Astyanax mexicanus: one gene and its partners. The main gene of each other region encodes a partner of the protein of the gene in region 3 in a complex. Links are inferred from orthologs where the notes say so. Each region holds a gene or a part of one and is shown on either strand. Other genes may lie near its edges.

What was found. Proteins that work in one complex are often made in the same cells at the same time.
Region 1: pold2 (region 3) and pold1 share a complex: the UniProt entries of both Homo sapiens proteins name them as parts of the tetrameric DNA polymerase delta complex. The link is inferred for Astyanax mexicanus from reciprocal best matches to the Homo sapiens genes POLD2 and POLD1.
Region 2: pold2 (region 3) and DNA polymerase delta subunit 4-like share a complex: the UniProt entries of both Homo sapiens proteins name them as parts of the tetrameric DNA polymerase delta complex. The link is inferred for Astyanax mexicanus from reciprocal best matches to the Homo sapiens genes POLD2 and POLD4.

The regions. Positions count from the first base shown.
Region 1 is NC_064426.1:26,991,009-26,998,541, reverse strand, and holds the start of pold1 (DNA polymerase delta catalytic subunit), read right to left. Parts: upstream 3,065-7,533; 5' UTR 2,904-3,064; intron 1,148-2,903; 5' UTR 1,139-1,147; coding exon 952-1,138; intron 118-951; coding exon 4-117; intron 1-3. UniProt on the Homo sapiens protein: As the catalytic component of the trimeric (Pol-delta3 complex) and tetrameric DNA polymerase delta complexes (Pol-delta4 complex), plays a crucial role in high fidelity genome replication, including in lagging strand synthesis, and repair.
Region 2 is NC_064414.1:44,551,277-44,558,143, forward strand, and holds DNA polymerase delta subunit 4-like, read right to left. Parts: upstream 2,267-6,867; 5' UTR 2,132-2,266; intron 1,805-2,131; 5' UTR 1,803-1,804; coding exon 1,700-1,802; intron 1,560-1,699; coding exon 1,470-1,559; intron 874-1,469; coding exon 762-873; intron 662-761; coding exon 637-661; 3' UTR 565-636; downstream 1-564. Other genes in the region: ssrp1b (FACT complex subunit SSRP1), read left to right, coding at 3,982-4,035, 4,852-5,037, 5,132-5,237, 6,012-6,205, 6,850-6,867. UniProt on the Homo sapiens protein: As a component of the tetrameric DNA polymerase delta complex (Pol-delta4), plays a role in high fidelity genome replication and repair.
Region 3 is NC_064419.1:31,905,063-31,912,096, reverse strand, and holds the start of pold2 (DNA polymerase delta subunit 2), read right to left. Parts: upstream 3,003-7,034; 5' UTR 2,829-3,002; intron 2,699-2,828; 5' UTR 2,690-2,698; coding exon 2,476-2,689; intron 527-2,475; coding exon 405-526; intron 99-404; coding exon 1-98. Other genes in the region: sf3a1 (splicing factor 3A subunit 1), read right to left, coding at 4,562-4,663, 5,048-5,119, 5,321-5,422, 6,376-6,536, 6,653-6,860, 6,959-7,034. UniProt on the Homo sapiens protein: Accessory component of both the DNA polymerase delta complex and the DNA polymerase zeta complex.

The DNA of each region.
Region 1 (7,533 bases), on a different chromosome or scaffold from region 3:
TACCCAGGTAATAGTCCAAATCTATTTGCTGAAAGATGAGGGTGTCTTTGTCAGGTTTGATAGTAGGAGCTGTGGGACGCCGCCAGCGAGGGTTTAGATCAGCCGAGAACAAGTCACCTGAGCCAAAAAAGAAAAAAGAAAAAAATGCAAAATAAAAAATAAATTGTTTAACATAATTAGCCAACATAAAATACCATTTCTCAAACACAAAACAAGATGAGGTTATATATATATATATATATAAAGCAGGACCTGAATTGCCTGTCCAATAAGAGAAGAGTTGTTATACATTCCTATGGGCAGTCCTATTTTTGGCACTTTTTGGCACATCCCAATTCACCTCTTGTCCCAACCACTTAGTCCTACCCTTCCGTTTTGTACATTCTTACCTAAAGGAACTGAAGAAACCCACAAATAAACCTTTATATTTGTTAAAAATTATAAAAACCATTGCATCTTACCTTATATTTTTTAATAAATTATGGGCCTTTTCTTCATAACAAGCAAGATAACAAAAAAAAATCCTGTTCCACCTACAATAGTGGAGGAGCATTTACTGGGACTTTGGCATTTAAGGTGGTTTGGGAAAATTTAAATAAGTAGTTAGTGAATAGGTAACTTTATCTTCCTATAACAGAGAAAATAGGGACGGACAATAATAAATAACTCATCAATCTGAACCCAATTGCAGGGTCGTCTACAGAGCATCCCTAATATCCTAATAATGAAGCAATGTACATTTCTTTAATCAAACAGGGCTGAATCATTTTGTAGAGTGAGAACTTCATCCACTTCCTTTTGTAACTCAGTTCAAATAGAAAGATGACACTCGAAAACAAGGGGTAGGGGTACAGATGAGAAAGGGGATTGGGCCCATGTTATTAAATAACTGAGAAATCCTGCTTTGTGAAACAATACAAATTTGGGACCAACTCTGGCAGTACCACTTACCCACTGGAATTACATCATGACCCGCCTGTCCCTCCCCTGACTCTGCATCCATCTCCATTTCATCAAATAAAGCAAGCTCCTCCTCAAAATGGGAAGGTCCATCGTCCCAATCTGTACCCACTCGGCCTTTCTTAGTCTGGGAGGCTCCACCCAGTGTAGGCCCACCATTGCGCTTTTTCCCATCCATCCTCAGCACCTACAGTAAACACACATACATATAAGGGTCAACACTGTTAATGTACTAATTAAACAAAGATCAATGCATTAATGGACGGTGGAATATCCCAGTTGTGGGTGGGCAAAAGTAAAAGTGCACAAATCATTTCAAACACTAAATCAAAGTCACTGAACTAAATTAAACTTTTATTCGTATATTTCTTTTAATATGGGGATGTTTAAACGCAAAAATAACTTGTATAACTATATGTAGGATTGGACGATATGGAGAACATTTATATCACAACATGTCTTAATTTCAGTCAATACGATATAACTGCAATATTAATATGCACAGTATAAAACCCACCACTCTTGCTGTACATAATCATGTACTGAGAGAATTAGGCAATATGGAAAATGTTATACAACAGTATTAAAAGATATCTTATAAAACAATGTATTTATTGTGGCAGATTCTATAAAAAATGTACTAAACAGTATTTAAATACTCTTTCATTAACAGTCAAGTTATTTATATATAATATCTGCTGCACATGATTCAATTTAATAGGAGTTTCAACACTCTCTGTAATAAAATGTACAGTTGGGTCAGGCTTCTTTAGGGAGTAACTATATCCTTGGCATATTTTCAATAAAAAAAACCTATTTATCACAATACAATAACATATCGACATGTAGTCCAGCTCTACTTATATGATGTGTTTTTTATTGTCAACCACCTTAATTACTTTTAATATTTATACAATGTTTGGTGTCCTGTGGTTTCTGTGATGTAAAGAACACAGACGAAATCCAAAACCGAAATATTTTTTTTAAATATGAAGACACCTCAAATCAAAAAGGGGGAAATAAATTTAAAAAACAAAAAATATTTAATAGCGCCCAAACTTTGCCAAGTTTTGCATCTAGAGGATAGCTTCAAAAAGTACTAATTAGGCTTGGGCAAAGGAAACTGGTCTATTCTAAAAAAAAAAAAAAAAAAAATCTACCAAAGCGGTTTGATAACCCAGCTAACCTACGCTATTTTTCATTCTCAGCATTATTAGCTTTTACTGCGAGTAAATTATATTTATAATTTATGAAATTAGTTATAAAAGAAACTGTGTTTCCAGAGAGAGAGAGACGCTGAAGCAAGAGCAGTTTAGTCCCTGTTCATGTGCTTAACGTGGCTTGTCAGACAGCAGAAGTGTCACTAGCTAATACAAAGAGAAAGCAATAATATCTATCACCCCATTGTTGTGTTGTTACCCAACATAGCACGTAAAACATCCAGGAAAATAAACAACAGAAAGACGCAAACAGAGGAGCAACTTTAACGTTACAGTAACTAGCTAAGTACAAGGTTATCAACCATATATTAAATAGGTAAGTTGGTAAGCTAGCTAGAGCCAAACAAACATGAGCTAAAGCTAGCTAGCTAACTAACTACTAAGTTTCCTTGACCCGCAGAAAACTACTAAAAAACAGACAGAACAATACAACACCGTTTTAGAGTACATCACGTAGTTAAGCTTCATAGCTAAGCTAATCTAGTTAATATCCAAACTATAAAAGATCTGCCAGAACAGTCAAATTCCAACCTAGACAACAGCAGCAGCAACAACTAGCTTCACCATATAAACAGAAAAGTCAGTTAGCAAAGCAGTGTTAACACTAACACTGTACCAAAACCGGTTTGCACACAGCTAGCACGCTAACTAACTAGCAGACCTGTAGCTAAACAACCCGACGTGTAAGTAAACAGGGTTAGCAGGTTAAATAGAAGCCCGTACTTTTCAGATCAATACTGTGTTGTCTCTCTCGGACCCAGCCTGAATCTCCCGCCACTTTTTTGACATTCACGCGCTCCACTGTTCTCTCTGCTCGTATACATGCCGCGATCTCCGTTTCCCGGCAAATTTGCGTGAAGGGGGTCGCGGACAGTGATTGGCTCAAACCCAGGAAGCTGCCCTGTTACAAAAACCATCTTATAAAATAAAAGTACTTTTACGATCACACGTATAAACGTATTGTTGTCATGCTGATCCACAAATGCATCGAACTATATACATATAGTTCGAATTATTTAAGTAGATTAAAATAATAGTTCAAATAGTTTTCTAAAAGGTTCGAAACTTTTTCAAAAAGTAGTTCGGATCAGTTTTCCAAAAGATTCAAAACTTTTTCTAAAGCAGTTTGAATCAGTTTTCTAAAATATTCTAAACTTTTTTAAGTAGTTCGAATCAGTTTTCGAATAGTTTTAAAACTTTTTTAAGCCGTTCGAATTAGTTTTCTAAAATGTAAAAATATTTTTTAAGCAGTTTGAATCGGTTTCTAAAAGGTTCGAATCTTTTTCAAGAAGTTTAAATTATTTTTCTAAAAAGTTCACATTTTTTCCCAAGCAGTTTGAATCAATTATCTAAAAGGTTTGGATCTTTTTTCAAGCAGTTTGAATCAGTTTTTTTAAAAGGTTAAAATCTTTTCCAAGCAGTTTGAATCAGTTTTTTTTAAAGGTTTGAATCTTTTTTCAAGCCGTTCGAATCAGTTTCCTAAAAGATGATATTTTTTTCTGTCTGACTCTAAAAGAGTAATTGAATTACGCCTCTTTTGTAGATAAAATTTGTTGTTTAACAACCTGTTAAAAATACACCAGAATGCAGGAAATGGCATCCAATTCATTAGAAATGTTATGGGGGGAGGGTGACCTTCATAAATCATCAATCCATCAATCAATTCATCAGTTCATCAGTCAATCAGTCAACCAAGCGCAGCATCTCGGATAGTATAGTTATGCAATCTCCACACTCTTACTTACCTTACAAATATATGCTGCTTAAGGAAAAGGAGTACAATAATAATAATAGATAATGGTCTTCAATAATTTCAATGTAAACATGTATTTTTTTTTTACAAAAAAAAAAGAAAAAAATTCAGCCATTGTACTGTTTTTTTACAGTTTTGCGCTGACAGGTTATCAATATATATTCTGACTCAGGATACATATCTTATATACAGTCTATGCTCACAGAGCTAGGGTAAAAACACTACCCTCTGCAGTGCACGTGCCCGACTTGTGATGGGGAACTCTGGTCTAATCCCTGACAGGGACTGTAACACAATGTCCGCGTTTATTTGCAGAACTGAGTAAAATCATCTCATATTCCACCAGTAGTAATCATTTAACACGGACATGGCTTGTGTATGGTGTCTGACAGGCTGGATAGATCAGTTGAAGGTTTATTAGTGTTTTGTACAACACGTAAAGACATGCATGCATTGAAATGTGTGTGGTCTGGTTTAGAAAATCACTCTACAGTTGGACACTTTGGACTTGATATAACACAGTAGACCAACACCAGCAGATGACATGGCTCTCCAAACCATCACTGACCATCAGTAAATTTTGCATTTTATTTGGAAATCAAGGGACCAGATCCTGGAGGAAGAGTGGAGAGGATCACGGTCCAAATTGCTTGAGGTCTAAGTGTGAAGTTTCCACAATCAGAGCCGTATCATCTGCTGGTGTTGGTTCACCGTGTTATATCAAGCCCAAAGTCTTAGAGCACTTCATGATTCCCTCTACTGACAGCTTTTATGGAGATGCGGATTTCATTTTCCAGCAGGACTTGGCACACTGTCCACACTGCCAATATGTGTATATTTTATAAAATAAAAATAAATGTTTGACACTGAACTAAGACTGTACATTGTACATTCTGTGTTCATGTGTGTGTATTTTCTGTGATGTCCTCACATCTATTCACGTCGTAGTCACCACTATATTCTGCTCTGACCGCTACAGCGTGCTGTAAAAATAACTGTGCTGCCCTTTTCTCTGCCGGGGGATAAAATCGTTCAGCATTAAAAACAGTCTCACGTTCCTCACGAGCAGTCAGCGCCTAATTGACACGATGCTCCGCCAATCAGATGGCTTAAGACCCTCCGCGTAAACCAATCACATTGCACGTACGTGGATCGTCAGAGGCTAGTCGCTCTCTGATTGGTCGGGCTCCTCCTCCGCGGTCAGGTCGTGCTGTTTGGTGATTGATTCGCGCAGATGCGAGAGCGTCGCAGGCGAGGACGCCGCCGCAGGGTGAGCTTGTGTCTCTTTTATATATTTATGTTTTTTTTTTTTTCACGAGCATTAGCGTGTCTGCTGTTCTGTGCACGCGGAAAGACGCGCGCGCACGCTGTCGCGTGAGAATCTGAATCCTGTTATTGGTGCTCGTGAGAATAAAACTCACTTTACTGCCCGTCCTTCCTGGTGGCTGATGTCCAGGGAAGTAGTGGGTAAAGGGGGGTCGGGCAGGAGCAGGAGCAGGAGCAAGCAGTGCGTTTCTGCACAGGAGACATGTAGCTGTGTGTGGTTTTAATGAAAAGCTGCACTGACCTGCAGCGCTGTGTAGTGTTATTAATCTGAGGGCAGGCTGTGCGCGCGCGCTGCTGTTGTCCTGGTCACAGTGTGACGTTCAGCGCGGCGAGAAAGAAGGCACGTACGCCACACCGGGGACAGAGCGTGCGCGCGCACGCACGCTTACAAACCACCGTGGACCGTGTTTATAACCACATTCTAACCACATTTAAACATGTAAAGCTCCAGTCTTGGGCGAAATGTGTTTGAGCGTAAAGCGGAGCTGTGGGATAGGCGCGTGTTCTTTAACAGCGTGCTGCCCGTGAGAGTCTGAGTTAGAGGGGGTGTGTATGTGTGCCCTGAAGGGGGCGGGTCGTGGCTGTAATGAAAATTAAATTTCCTTGGGTTTCACCCTGGAGACACTCTCTGTCGGTTGTGCATGTCTGTCTCTCTGTATGTCTCTCTCTCTTTAAGTACTGTATGTCTCTCTCTCTCTGTATATCTGTCTGTAGGTCTCTCTCTCTCTGTATGTCTGTCTGTATGTCTCTCTCTGTATGTCTGTCTGTATGTCTCTCTCTCTGTATGTGTCTGTATGCCTCTCTCTTTGTGTGTATGTCTCTCTCTCTCTCTGTTTATTTCTCTATCAGTTTGTCTCTCTCTCTGTACGTCTCTCTCTGTATACTTCTTTCTTTCACTGTCCACATAAATGTGTTTCTTGTCACATTGCCTGACTCTGTTCTATTGATTCATTCTTTAATTAAATAACTATTTGAGAACAAATTTGAATTGTGTCAAGCAGTCCAAAAATGTCACCCACACTAGATTACACCCTATAAGCTAGTTTAATCACTTATCTCGATTTCCACATAAGATCCAAATACAAAACTGGGGTTGACATGATACAAAACTAAAAAAAAATAAGCATCACTAATGCTTAATAGTAAATAATACAATGACACAGAAACTAAACAAACAAACGTTTGCCAGTCTTAGGATGGAGAAAACCTATTGCGTATTCAGCGAAGTGCTGCACAAGGCCCTTGAAACCCTTGCTATACAGTGCACTCTTTAGGCAGTAGGAAGACGTGTGATGTGGCTTTTCTTTCCAGCCTTAACCTCCATTTAACCCCCATTTGACCTTCATTTCTGCTGTATCTCTTTATTCTCTGTCACATTTACATTGGGTGTCCCAATTGCTTTTGATTAGGTTTGTTTAGTTTAAATTGAGTGTTGTCAGAAATCCATGATGCATAAATGGGTCCACTCAGTTTTTGAGAATAAAATGGTTTAAATGGAAACTGTTATTTCCTAATGCAGTGGAAACGAAAAGGGAGGAGGTATAATTTGGGAAAAAATGTTGGGCAGCTACAGTGGCAAGAGAATTATGTGTAAATGAAAAGCATTGCTTCATCACATCCTCTTGATATGAGTATGAATCAGGATGAGTGAATGTTAATATTTTGTGTATTTACCTGTTAAACCTGTACTATTACTTTTATTATATATAATACACATTTTTGTATTAATGGTTGTACGCAATTCAGGCAGAGCCCTTGTTTTGCTCAAGAACAGTTTATTTAGATTGGCTGCAGTGTTAGGTTTAAGATTTAGGTTGGTTTTAAAGTGAGATTAGGATTAGTATTAGCAGTGCTGATTTAAAAAAACATTAAGGTGGTGTTACAAATCTTTTAAAATGTCTTTAATACCTTAAGACTTTGTGTGTAGGCCAAAGCCACCAATGTATGATTTCATGTTCTGACTCGAAATAAGTGTTAGCTTGATGTGGCCACAAAACTCTACTTCCTTCCTCGGTTACTTAATCTCCACCACCTCTTGCTGTAATCCCAGTTCTTTCTGTGTCCTTCATCCTTTAGATAAGGTTCAATCCATTAACTTATATGAGGTTGAGGCCAGGGTCTGAGAACTTGTGTTTGTGGCCCATTTTAAAATTGTGGGTGCATTTCGTGTATGAAAAGCTTTGACATATTAGTCAGTTATCATTAAACCATCTAAACCATTAAAAAATGAACACGTTTTGACACTTTCCAGCGTTTTGTTCCGTAACTCAGTGT
Region 2 (6,867 bases), on a different chromosome or scaffold from region 3:
CTTATTTTTAATTAGTGTTTAATTAGTCATTTTCTTTGCTCTAATTTGTACACCATATTATTTAAAGCCTGTTCATGTTCAATTAGGGTTATATTAAACAAAAACAACACATTCTAACATATTCCAAAGTCTGCAGCGCCAAAACTCCACAGACCAATGCTGGAGCTTTATAACTTAAATTGCTGATGACTGGCTTTGGGCCTAGTGAGATTATTTTCAATATGCTGCTACTTCCATTATTAAAGCTGATACAAGCACTGTGATACAATCACCAACAGATGCATCCTAAATTAACAGATTTTGTACACAATAGTCTATCCTTTTCATTTCTTTGACACTTCATTCCCAATCGTAGAATAAACTATACAACCTGCCAGTTGCAATCAAGGCATTGTGTGTTAGCCTGTTTTGCTTACCTGCTGAGTTTGATAATGTAGCTCACTTCAAGACAGACAGTCCAGTTTAAGAAAGAAAATACCTTAAAAGTTGATGACAAAGGGATGCTTTTGTTAAAAGGGTTTTACTATAAACGTAGTGTAAAACATGGCAAGCTCACATGTTGGATCAATCATGATCATAAACAATCAACAATCATCCACTCTCACAATCTTCTTTTTTCTCTTCAGGCATCTTTCTTTACAATGGGTAATCCCGCCAGAGGCTGAAATACAGGACAGAACAAACAATTACATATGCACTTACAGACCTCCATGTATGTGTAATATTATTATTTTTGCTAAATATATTCATGCTCATAGTACCTATGTGTGTACTCTGGGTCCACGCTCTCCGTCAGCAGTATATCTTTAATCTCATGTGGGGGGTCCAGCCCATGCAGTGCTGCCCTCTCCCATCTTTGTAATCGGCTGATCCCTACATACACATTCACACATGCAAGAGAGGAAGTACATAGGTACATACCAAAATTCCAAATGACTTCTATCCTTCTGTGAAATTTGTTAAGAAGAAAAAAATAATCAATACTTTATTTACAATGTGCATATGTTTATCCACATTTAATAATTTAGCAGTGGTTCTGGAGGCACCCTCCTCTGTATATTTTTCGCTTTTCCTTATTCCAACACATGCTTTAACTACACTCTCATACACTCTCATATGCAAAGGCTGCATCATTAGTCATCATTTGCAAGACTGAAACTAGATTCCTTTTGAGATTTTACTCATGCTTCTTATTTTGGCCACATCTGAAGCAATATGTGCAAAAGTTTGAATAGAAAAAAATCTCTGACATTTGTTAAATGTGTATAAGCAAGGGAAACACTACAATTGTACAGCAGGGTGCATCCTAGATTAAAATTTCCCCCCAAATACCCAGTGTTTTCCAGCAGCCATTTTTTTAGTTTGAAAGGGGCATTTCTTTGTACCCATAATAATATTAACTTCCTGAGCACTAAGGATTTGTCAGTGTAATTAGAGAATTATAAACACTTCTGACTCTTTTGTATTACCTGTGCATGGCCCAAAACGCCAGTCCAGGTCAAACTTTCTCAGTTCCTGCAGATCAATTTCTCTTTTACTGGGGCGAGGAGGTTCTGGATCTGAGAGATCATCAAATGGTAATAACATAACAACAGAATAACAATTGCAAATCTTTCCATTCATCAACATAGTTTTGATACCAAACTATATAAAAACAACATGATTCTAACTTAAGCTGCACACTATCACACAGTCTCACCTGCAGCAGGTGGTGAAGGAGGTCTCTTGTTTCTTTTGTCATCTTTCCTCGCCTTCTTCACTACTTTAAATGTGTCAGTGATGAGACCTCGTTTGGCTGTCATGCCTGGGGGAAGGGAATCAATGGTGTCCGACAACACCCATCAAGAACCACACATTTAGGACCTATCACATGCATGTCCCATGTACTTTCATTTTCCCATTTGGCCAAAAACTCTGTCCAATATGATCTGATACCCCCAAATATCAGAATTTTATCCCAGTTAAAGTTAAAAAACACTGTCTACGTGTACATAATACTGAGCTGAGCTGTGCCCAGTCTCAGGTATTGTTTCCTGTGTCTTAAACTCAGACCGTGTTCACATATTTATAAACAGTATCTGTAGCTCTCGTGTTCATAAATGTTTTACAGTTCTGAAGCTACAGCACTCACCTGCAGCTCTGTGTATCCAGTGAACACTGTAACCACTGTAAACACCGCGGATCCTCAGTCAACGATAAGATTTCCTACCCGAACGTTTACAAAACAAGGGTAGGGGCGTGGCCAAGCACACTGCGTGATGACGTTTGTGGGGGGCTTATTTCGTACGTATGACGTACGCACTCATGTTGCTCTACTGCCTCGTTCGTTTCAGCATTGAACCGATTCATTTGAACCAAATTATTCAAACGATTCATAGTCTCACGTTAAATCATAACAATAAAAATGACAACAAAAACAACATTAAAAACCCTTTACCTCTCCTTAAATTTCTGTCATGTTATATTATTATTATTATTATTATTATTATTATCATTATTATTATTATTATTATTATTATTATTATTATTATTATTATTATTATTATTATTATGACATCTTTAATTTACTAAGTGAATTGGTTAATTATGAGATTTTATATCATAAGTCTATACGGTGGGTATCTACAATTTTTTTTATAATATTGAGTTGATTCTGTTATTCTATTAGTTTTTTACTACTACTACTACTACTACTACTACTACTACTAATAATAATAATAATAATAATAATAACAATAATAATAATAATAATAATAATAATAAATTATTTAGACCTTAGAGTTAGACACTAAAATACTACATTAATACATAAATTATGACATTTTATATAAATAATTTATAGAGTATCTCCTTTTTTATTCTGATATACTACTACACAGTTAATAATAATAACGACATAATAATTACTACATAAATATATGGAAGTATCTATTTTTATTTCAAGTGTTTAAGACTATCAGTCAAATATAAGGAAATATAAAAAAACATATTTTTTATTTATTTATCAAAACAAAGCTACAAAAAAGTAAATGGCTCGGATTTACTTGTTTTTTTAAATGACTCGATTCAAAAGAATCGTTCATTCACGAGTTGGACATCGCTAGCGGTTTCCTCTCAGTTCCAGAATTCTCCAATAAACAGTAAATGCTATTTAACAGCAGCTGCGCGGTTCAGCCCTCGCTGTGACTCAGGAGTGTGTGACCCTGTAGTGAGACGCTGTGTGCGGATATCAGATAAAAACGAGTCCTTTGCTTGTTGGAGGAATGCTAAGCTGCAGTCTATTTCAGGAGCAGCAGCTCACAGCTAGCTATCCAGCTATTAGCGAATATGTCTGCGTGTGTTTAGCTCGCTGGCTGGGCCGTGGCACTGTTTAAAACTGTTTAAAATAAAATTGTCAGATTTGCTGCTTAAAATGTTAGCTAATAGATTCATAGCAAAACAGTCAGACAGTGAGTTTGTTAGTTAGCTGTCTGTCTAACCAGGTGTTCTGCATGGCAGCTGTTCTGTTTCTCCATCAGCATCTTCATTTAGCATCATTTAGAGAACAAAAAGGTGCTGCTGAACTCCATCACTTTATTTAAGGGGAGCTCAGAATAGAGAAGAAGCAGAACTGAACTTCTGCACATTCCCCATAAGATATGTTTCACCTGTACCTTCACCCCCCCTTCAGGCTTCAGAGAGCAAAATCAGCTCATATAGATAATATATATCAATACCAGCCTGTCAAAGCACCTGTTCTGACACAGCATAAGATTTGAGCAGTTTTAATCCATTGATTCTGGATATGAAGAAGCATATATGCATATGTTTTAAACATAATTTCCAGGATTTTACCATCCCCAAATGCGGCAACACAGAAAAGTGCAGTGAGAAAATATTTGTGATAAAGGGAGAACAGATTTGTATGTGTATTGATTTCTCTTACTGTTTTTTTTTCTTTCACAGATTTGTATTGCTGGGACAAGGGAGGAAACTGCTGGCATGGCTGACAATCTGGAGTTTAATGATATTTATCAGGAAGTTAAGGGTTCTTGGGTGAGTATCTTCAAGTAGAGCACTTTACAGTATGTGATAAATTGAATGTCTGTTTTCTATATATGTAAAAATAATAAAAAAATAAAAGTAATGTGTAGAGATTGTTTTTAATAAAAACCCACTGTTTTATTATTGAGTGTAATCAATTAATTAATACACAAAGTCATTCAGAGTGTTTTGACGTGAAATGATGGACTGTATAAAACTTGCTGACACACATTTTTTACAGTAATCAAGGGTCAGTGTAAATATAGTAATTTATTTGCTATTCTACATAATCCATCTTCTGACTACTTATATGTAATTCTGATAATAGTAGTAAAAAGTAGTACATCAGAACTGTTTTCTCATTTGTCTGTCTTCGCATGAATCTCTCTTTAAAAATATTTAGCGTTTTGTCCAAAACAAAAACAATGTTGCAAGCAAAACGTATCATATATGAACAGTTCTTGAAAACACAAATATTTCTTAATTTGTTTGTGAAAAAAGTAAAAAAAAAACCTGTGGAATTCCCATTTGAATGTAAATACAAAACCATGCACTATATATCAACAGGCTTAAGCTATGCATAATGTGTTTTACACTTATCCTATTGAAAAATATATTTAAAAAAAACATTGCAGAAATTATTGTAGCCATGAAGATAAATTAAATTGTCACCATGTTTTGAAGACGTTGTCTCCACATCTTAGCCTGCTTCAAGTAAGATGTTGTTAGCATAAAAATGCAACATGCTTTTATAAAAATACATATGTATCATTCACATGTGCCAACAAATAATGCAGAAGATTAGCACAAGTTCCTGTATTTTTGCAGAACGATGGGCGTCTACGGTTCAGTAAGCAGACAGTGGTTTATAAAAACAGTAAGACGGGGAAGGTGGACAGTATCCCTGTCCCAGAGCTCACTCAGGCCCAGTGGAGGAGAGTCTGCCTGGGACACGGCATCAAGCTCTGCACCAGCACTGGACACGTCTATAAATATGACGGCTTTAAGGACACGGTGGGTGTAATGGCTGTTTATTTTGTGTGAATAAAATTCAAAACAATATTTATTTTAATTAAACATGTTTATTCTTTATTTTGTTTCTTTCAAGGACTTGGAAAAAATCTCAGAGTATTTTAAAGCCAATTATAAAGTGGAGCTGGCTGAGAAAGACATGTGTGTGAAAGGCTGGAACTGGGGAACTGCTAAATTCAATGGTTAGTATAAGTTCATAACATAAAGTTTTTTATGTCTAAATTAGTTTGGTTTAATGTGAGGGATTGTAAGTCATGGTACAGTGCTCTGTGAGGAAAGCTATTAGTTAAGTGGCTTGCGTGAATTTAAGTCTAGTCTAGAGGCTTTACTCGTCATTTCAACCATAAAATTCTACACAGTGGAGCGAAATAATATTCCTCCAGGAGCATGGTGCAACACCATGTGTGTGTGTGTGTGTGTGTTGAAGATAAGGTGGGGAGATTTAAAACATTTTATGAAATATAGATATTTTACAGTCAGCTTATAGAATATGATCACAGTAATTGCAGAGATAAAGAGGGTACAGTTTTTCTAATAAATACAGTACTCAGCAGTAGGTCTGTCACGATAATTACATTATTAACTTGAAATAAAATTGTGTTTAATTCTTGGTTTGTTCACATATATAACAGTGAACAGTATTTTAGCCAGTCATGTAATGATCAATGCTTTTCATGTAATGACCAATGCTCTCCAAACACACAGTGTGAACTTCAGTAGGTGAAGGGAAAAAATATTTTATTCCCTATAATATATTTTGTTAAGCCATTTGTTAATAATTTGTTTATCCATTCTGTAGTCATTATGTCAGTGGCATTTAAATATAAAATAATAAAATAATATCATTTATTGCAATCATTTCTGGACGATATATATCATACACATAAAAATGCTATTGTGACAGGCCTACTCAGCAGCATTACTAAAAAATAATTGTCCTCTGAATGTAATTCTAGGCCCACTGCTGTCATTTGAGGTGAGTGACAGCCCTGTGTTTGAGATTCCACTCTCCAGCGTTTCTCAGTGTGCAACTGGAAAAAATGAGGTCACACTCGAATTTCATCAGAATGATGACACAGAGGTGTCCCTCATGGAAGTGCGGTTTTATGTCCCGCCCACCACAGCAGATGAGGGAGCAGACCCTGTGGAGGTGAGAGAGAGCCTGTGTGTGTTTGTGTATGTGTGTGTGTGTGTGTGTGAGTGTGTTTTCTCTGTACAAAAAATCTGAGAATAAGTTTGATGATGTTTGTGCTAGGCATTATGACCTGAAAAATCATGATTAATTGATATTAGTTAAGATCAGAGTTAGGCTTATTTTTGCATATAAATGCACAAACTGGATGATGAGATCTTTTGTATGCATTGTTTTACTGTGACCACTAAGAGGAGCCCTTTTCAAATAAACAAGATCTACATTGGGCTGAGGACAAAAAAGAGACAAAATATACTTATTATTATCATTATTATCATATACCAAAAAACTACAAGAAATATTAAAATATAGAACATAGTATTTCTTTGTGATCCAGCTGAAGGGAGTGGTTAGGGTCACATCAAATGTTCTAAGAGCTGCACTTTGGGCAGTTTTGATCCAAAGAAAGTCTAAATGAGAATGTGAATGAAATCAGAGGTAGCGCCTCTCTCAGTCTGGACTGTCTTTTTTTAAAGCATAAAGTACAGGTTTCATTTTAAACACCTCTTCCACTAAGATCAATTACAGGCAGTTATGAGGATCCTAATTCTATAACACTCTTAAGCAAATAGACTAAACGGTTTAATGTGATTCTCTTACAGGCGTTTGCTCAGAATGTT
Region 3 (7,034 bases):
TTGCCCTCCAGTTTGATCCTCTGCAGCTCATCCTCTAGAATCAGCTCGTCTGACTGGCTGATGTATTTGGCACGAGGCGGCTGGGGCAGCAGGTTGTGCTGAGGTAATCAAAAGAAATGATAAAGAAGAAAGTTAAAAAAAAAAAGTAAAGAAAAGAAATATTCCAAATGATCACAAACAGAACATAAAAGTTTACATTAACAGCATTCCAACCCCCAAAGAAGGTTATCTACAAAAAACATTTTTGACATAAATCTGGCAGTTTAAGTTCAAGGCTTGGCCAATACAAATGCTCCAAAATTTGTGATATCTTTTTAAATAGATTCCCATTTCTTTTTGCAGCAAAAGTGCTGTTTTTGAGACATCCAATGATGATTGATGGGTTGGTTTATTTTCTGGACTACCTCCTCGCTGATCTCCTTCAGTATGGACGGCTGCAGCTCCATGTGCTTGAATATGGTGCCCACGATCACACACTGTTCACCCATCTGCAGATCACAGAGCTTCTTGATTGGTATGTCAGTACCTGAAAAAACATGAAACATCGAGTTAATAACAGGAACCTGATTACCCAGGAAAGACATCAGCATCACTAGCCAAACACAGCAGCAGGCAGACATCTTCCTGTTTCATTTTTTCCTTTGTTGTTGGGCTCCATAATTTCGCAATGCATGGGACACAGACTGAGTCTCGGTACTGAGGAATAAAAACAAAATCCAGATATAAACATGGAATATGCACGGTAATACACAAAAATCTCAGAGCTAAGTAAAACTAACATCATTCCAATACAGATCATTTAACTCAGGATTAATTAAGGACAGAAAATAAATATTATAAAAAGGTATATACATGCCAATCCAGGCTGACTTTCCAGTCCACAAGCGTTATCTTGCATGATTCAAAAAAGGCTTTGTAGAAGACATATTGTACTAGCCTGTGCTTCTTAAATATTAACTGCACTAATATATTAATGGACACCATATATTTAAGCCACTTTTCCTTGAGTACATTTTACTTGAAACAAACAAAAACATTAAAAACTCACCAGTGCAAATATCAAATGTATATCAAAATATCAACTGCATGTGTGTAAACCATGTGACTTTTTAAAGAAGAATTTATTTAAGGGTATTTAAATGTAAAAAAAAAATAATAATAATAATAATAATTTCTGTTAGATTGGATAAAATAATTATATTAGTATCAGTGGTATTTAAAAATAAAATCACCACAATATTCAAAATCATGATTTATTCTTTAAAATGGGGATAGTTTCCTGTATTTCTGGGAGGGAAACAGTGATAATAGTGTAGTGTGGATTAGGGAGAGCGGCTGAGAGTCTTCAGCAGAGCGATGCTGTGTCCATTATTTGGAGAAAAATAAAGTGTGGATAAAAGTGGAGTATGGCTTTATAGAGGTAGCTTGCTGGATTAGCCTCATTGCTTACTAGCTAGCAAGAAAGTATTATCATGGCTAATATAGAAGGGAACCCAGCCTCTCCTGGTCAGATAACTTATAAATCAATCAATCAGTGTTAAAAAGCATTAGACTTCCACATATGTCTAATATAATTAGCTGAATAGCCCCAGCAGCAGTGGAAGTAGGTAGAAAATTCATAGTTAGAGTTCATATAAACTTTAATGTAAACCTGGTGTCCCAGGTAGTTGCTCAGGTTTTGTAACGTCATCATTGTTTTAACCTTGTTAATAATACTAAAAGTAATAATAAATTAATAATAATAACAATAATAAATGATCAGACATCCCAAGTTGCAACAATTAATTTCAGTGAGGTACCCCAGACCCGAACTTCCCCCCAACCACCCCACAAACAAAACAAAAAAACAAAAACAAGAACTAGCGCACTCACAAAGCATACCAAAGGATCATAGAACTTTTATATATGGTCACATTTAACTTACCTCAACATGCCTTTTGCAATCATTTAGTCCTCATGGTCAACACTAAAATTACTATTACAAACTGTACAGCGGGCAAGACTTTCACTGTTTTTACCAGACATGGATATGCTTTAAAGTAGTCAGAGGTAAAATGAGTTTTGATGGGAGCCACGATGCTCCTGAACGCATCCCGTCCAGGAGGAAAAAAAAAAAAAAACACTGCCCGCCCACACTAAAAACTGACTGGCTGACCCAGAGACTCTTTGCAAAGAACAGGCCAATCAGAACACTCTCTGTTTTGCATGCACTTTATGTGTTCACTCTTGGGCCACTCGTTCTAGATTCCGGGAGATTTTATCTGACTTGCGGGCATCAGGGAGCCGTTATGGATATGATATCAATTGTAGACTCCCGCAACTTCCGGGAGACTTGGGTAATCTGTAATAATTATATTGTATTCGATATTAGTTTATAGGTGCTTTGGCTCCTAGAATCCATCATAAGGTATTTACAGATTCTTCTGTATTTCCAAAGCGCTGCCCCACTGTAACCAGTACACCCAGAATTCTCACCCCACTTCTGCTCGGCTCTGTCCTTCAGGATGCCGCGCATCTGCATCAGTCTGGCGGCGTACATGTGCGCGTACTGCCGCTGGAAGCTGCGCTCCCCCAGCCCGAAGCCCTCACTGCAGCCGCTGTACGTGCGCTCATCCCGGGAGAACACCGGCCTCTCCGTTCCTGGAGGAGCCAGCAGGGTCTCCTTCTGCTCCGTAATATCCGAGAACATGACCGAAAACTGCGGAGAGGAAATAATATATACACAATAAACAAACAAACCCAGAGCCTTCAGACCCACACACACCTAAACCCAGAGCCTTCAGATACACAGTGAGTACACGAGCTCGCTCTCTAACCCTCATTCTTACCGGTTTCGGGGTTCAGGACTCTCTTGTACAGTGGGTTAGGTCCTTTACTGTAAAAGTGCTGACAGTTTATAGGACACACACACAGCTATAAATTAATAAATAAACATAAACAAACAGAGAAACACAAACACACGGCAACTTCAGGATCTCCCGCTAAATATCGCACCGCCTCAGGATGTGACAACATTACTACAAAGCGCTGCCTTCATAATAAAAGTCACGAAAAGGAAAAAAAGAAACGATTTTCGCCCATTCTTATAATATATTCTTAGAAATTCAACCTTCTGATATATAAAAATATATTGAGAAAAGGACTTAGCTCTTTAAAGACACAACCACAAAATATTTGCTAAAATTCTTTTGTTTTTAAACCGTATATAATAAAATATTAATACAGAAAGAAAACAAATAACGCTTCACATGCAGGACTTTTATGGATCATACTTGATACATTAGAATTTGAAGTTTTCTTTCGCAAAAGCAGGTATGTGCTCCACTTTAAACACACCTTTATCTGTTTTTGCAACAGATAATCCATCAGGGGGCAGAAAACATGTGTCTGATTTTATTTTTGTATTAAATGTATTAATAATTATTTAACTTATATTCGTGTTATTGCTTAGATATGAGTAAAACAAACGTGCATTGTATATGGAATAAACATGCTTACATAAATGTTGTCAAGCGACATCATTTTTTTTATTTATTTGCTTGTTTGTTTACACTTACATACTCAAAAATGCAATGCTGACCGATAAATAAGGACCTTGCAATGTATAACATAGCATACATATGTCCTCAATAAATTTAATACTGTTCAAATAAATTGTCTATAATTGCATGCATCTAAAACTTGACTTTTTCCACTTTAATTTAAAAAAATGATTTGGATAAAAATGCTAAACGGAAAAATAAAAAATTAATGCCCTTCTTATTTTAGGTTATATTTAGCTTTGTTGGTGTGTCTGCCTGGATGTAAAAAATATTCAGTACTCAACATAAATTTAAAATTGCAGTAATTTTTTCTAAGTAAAATTAACAAATATATTTAGAGTATTTAATTTATTGCAATGGTGAAAAAAGTGGAAAAGTTATTACACTCTGCAAAAGAGTTTATTTGGTGTATTACTACCATTTAAATATCACGTTTCATTCAGCAAATATTTAATATCTGATACCAGACATATGCAGTAGTGGTGGCTCAGTAAGAGCTCTGGATTATTTAGTGTTGTTGGTTTCCTATGAACAAATTCCCTTATTCCACTCCAGGGGGCGCTGTAGCACATCTCACCTCAGCCTTGTCAAACTGGACTAAGACAATTGTGTTTTCCTGTACATATAAATGACAAATGCTTCGTTTTCTGATGCAATAGCTAGAGGTTTAATGCCAAAAAAAACACATTATTTAAGGTTTTTCCTTAAATTTATTTGATTCTGCTTTGTAATAACATTTTCATTTTTTTCATTTCAGAATCTCACAAAAGCAGTGTTTTAGATCTGAAAGGTGAAACATAAGCCTAGTATCAGCCAAAACAGTAAAACATACTTAACTACACAAGATAAATGCCTAACACTATAGACATTTCATACAAGAGTGTGACAGTTCCAAGGAATCCAGCTTGTTGATAACAGTATAAACTACCAAGCAAAAACTGCAGCAATTTCTACATATGAATCTTCTAAACAGGGATGGTAATAGAGCTGAGCAGTAGGAGGAGTTTCGAGAGTATAAACTACTTCTTCCTTCCTCCTCTCTCCTTGAGGGCGAGATGAATAACAGAGCCGTTGTTCATGTTGTAGTAAGCCAGAGAGTTTGAGTCCTTGATGAAAATACCCTGCAGACGAAAGATACAGTTTCAATTAGCAGAGAGAATTTAATTATGTTTAATAAATAATGATAATTTTTTGATAGTCACACAGGTCATGCAAGCACAGTAAAATAAAATAGATTAAAGGGCTGTTTTATTTTCTCCTCTGGGGACTGAATTACTGATTGATGCATACTTGTAATTTTGTATGATTTTAGGAAAAAATGAGTCATAACTTATTTTTATTCGTATACAATCTTTTCCCAGCTTATTTTTAGCTCAGAAATCCACTCGATATATGGAAATGTAATATAAAAAGTGTGTACTGGTTGGCAAACTGTTTTGTGCAGCCGAATTCCCTTGTATGGATTAAGAAGTGATCTGCGTTTTTTGAAAATTGTTATAATTTACCTCATATTGAAGTTTCTGTTTGCCTGCAGGCATTCCAGTGGCTTCATGGATCTTAACCTTGATAACAGACACCTAAAAAAAAAAGAGAAATACTTGTGAATAGGAACAATGTGAAGAGAATGATTTTATTTAAACACATAAAAAAAAAAATAAAAGAATAAATACTAACTTTATTATTTAAACATGTTTAAGGTTAATAATCAATTCAAAAAGAGAGAAATATATCCTCTGTGTTAAATGATTAGTCAGTGCACTGTTGGCGGGCCTCTTTACCTGGTCTGTTAGAGGCATGGTGAAGTTGAGCACTTGTCCATTCAGCTTCCATTCGGTCTTGTCCTGCATGTTGGGTACCTGAACTTTGACTGCCACGGGACCCTGAAAGGCATAAAATCTTACAATTAGTGAGAAACTCAAAGAATGTATCACAACACCCACTTTTTCATCCCTGTTGTCATGACATACACAAAGTCTACATAAAAAGTGAGCTAGTCACAATAATTTAATAATGAAACTTTAATTTTTATTACAATGAACCTTCTTAAACCCCAATGTTAAAAACAACATTGTGTGCAGTGCACTAAAAAATAAATGTGAAAGTTTCTTAATATATATAAGATAAGATACCCTGGTCACAGTTTACAGCCCTGCAGTACTCCTGTGTGTGCACAGCGGTGCTTGGAAGTTTGTGAACCCTTTCCAATTTTCTATATTTTTGCATAAATATGGCCTAAAACTTCAAAAATATTTGACTTGCTCATTTATTTATTGAAAATTATACACTATTACATAGTTGTGAGTGGCAAAAAATGTGGTGACCATAATTAGGAGAATCAGTACCATGTTTGCCTCGCATCTCTGTGGCATTTGTCTCCAGTCAAGCTTGGTGATCAAAATTGGCCCCAAAAACATTGATTGGTCAATCTCTATTAATATTGTATTATTTTTCACAATAAATAAATTGCCAAGTATAATATTTTTGTCTCATTTGTTTAACTAGATTCTCTTAATATACTTTTAGGAAATCAGCACCTTCCACAACATTTTGACTGAATTATGGTCAGGACTGTGACTTGACTGAAAACATCCAATATAATTTTTAAATGAAAAGTTCACATCATTTTGTCATTCACAAATATGTAATATTGGATCATTTTGCTTAATAAATAAATGACAAAGTAAAATATAAACAAAAAATCTCATTTGTTTAACTAGGTTCTCTTTATGTACTGCTAGTAATATAATCTGATAATGTTTTAGGTCATATTTATATTCTAAAGGGTTTACAAACTGATAAAAAGCACTGTATATCCTACTAGTACACACAGCACCTTGTTTCTGCGCAGGAATTCCTCTTCGGGTATCAGGTTGTCCTCTGTCTTCATCTTCTTGTTGACTGGCTCGTCCTCGTGGGGAGGTGGAGGGTGAGCAGGTGGCATTGGGGCTGGAGCTGCACTGGGAGGCTGTGGCACTGGAGGGGCTGGAACAAATGCTAGAGGGAGAAACAAAAGACCTTCAGTATCTATTCTTCAAGAAGCATCTTGGCCTCTTAACTGTTCCTGTAATAATTGCTGACCGAAGCAACAGATGTTAACACTGTCCTCTTACCTGCAGGGACCACCATAGGTGGAGGTCTTGGAGCCATGATGTGTGGAGCTGTGGGAGGCATGGGCACCACATTGATGCGTGGCGCGTGTACCATGGGTGGCATGGGGGTCAGCACCTGCCCAGGGGCCAAACGCACCACAGGAGCCATCGGGGGCCGTGGAATAACGGGCACAGCAGACAGCAGAGTGGTCCGGACTGGGGGTGGAACCTGTAAACCAGAACAAACAAACACAAAAAATAACAGTTAAATCCTATTCATATTATATGATTTATATCACCTTTTTAAACTCCAGAAGGCGCACTGACCACAGGTGGGGGCTTAGGCATGGTGCTGATTGGTGGGCTGGGTTTGGGTAAATTGGCCACAGAGGATGGCATTGGA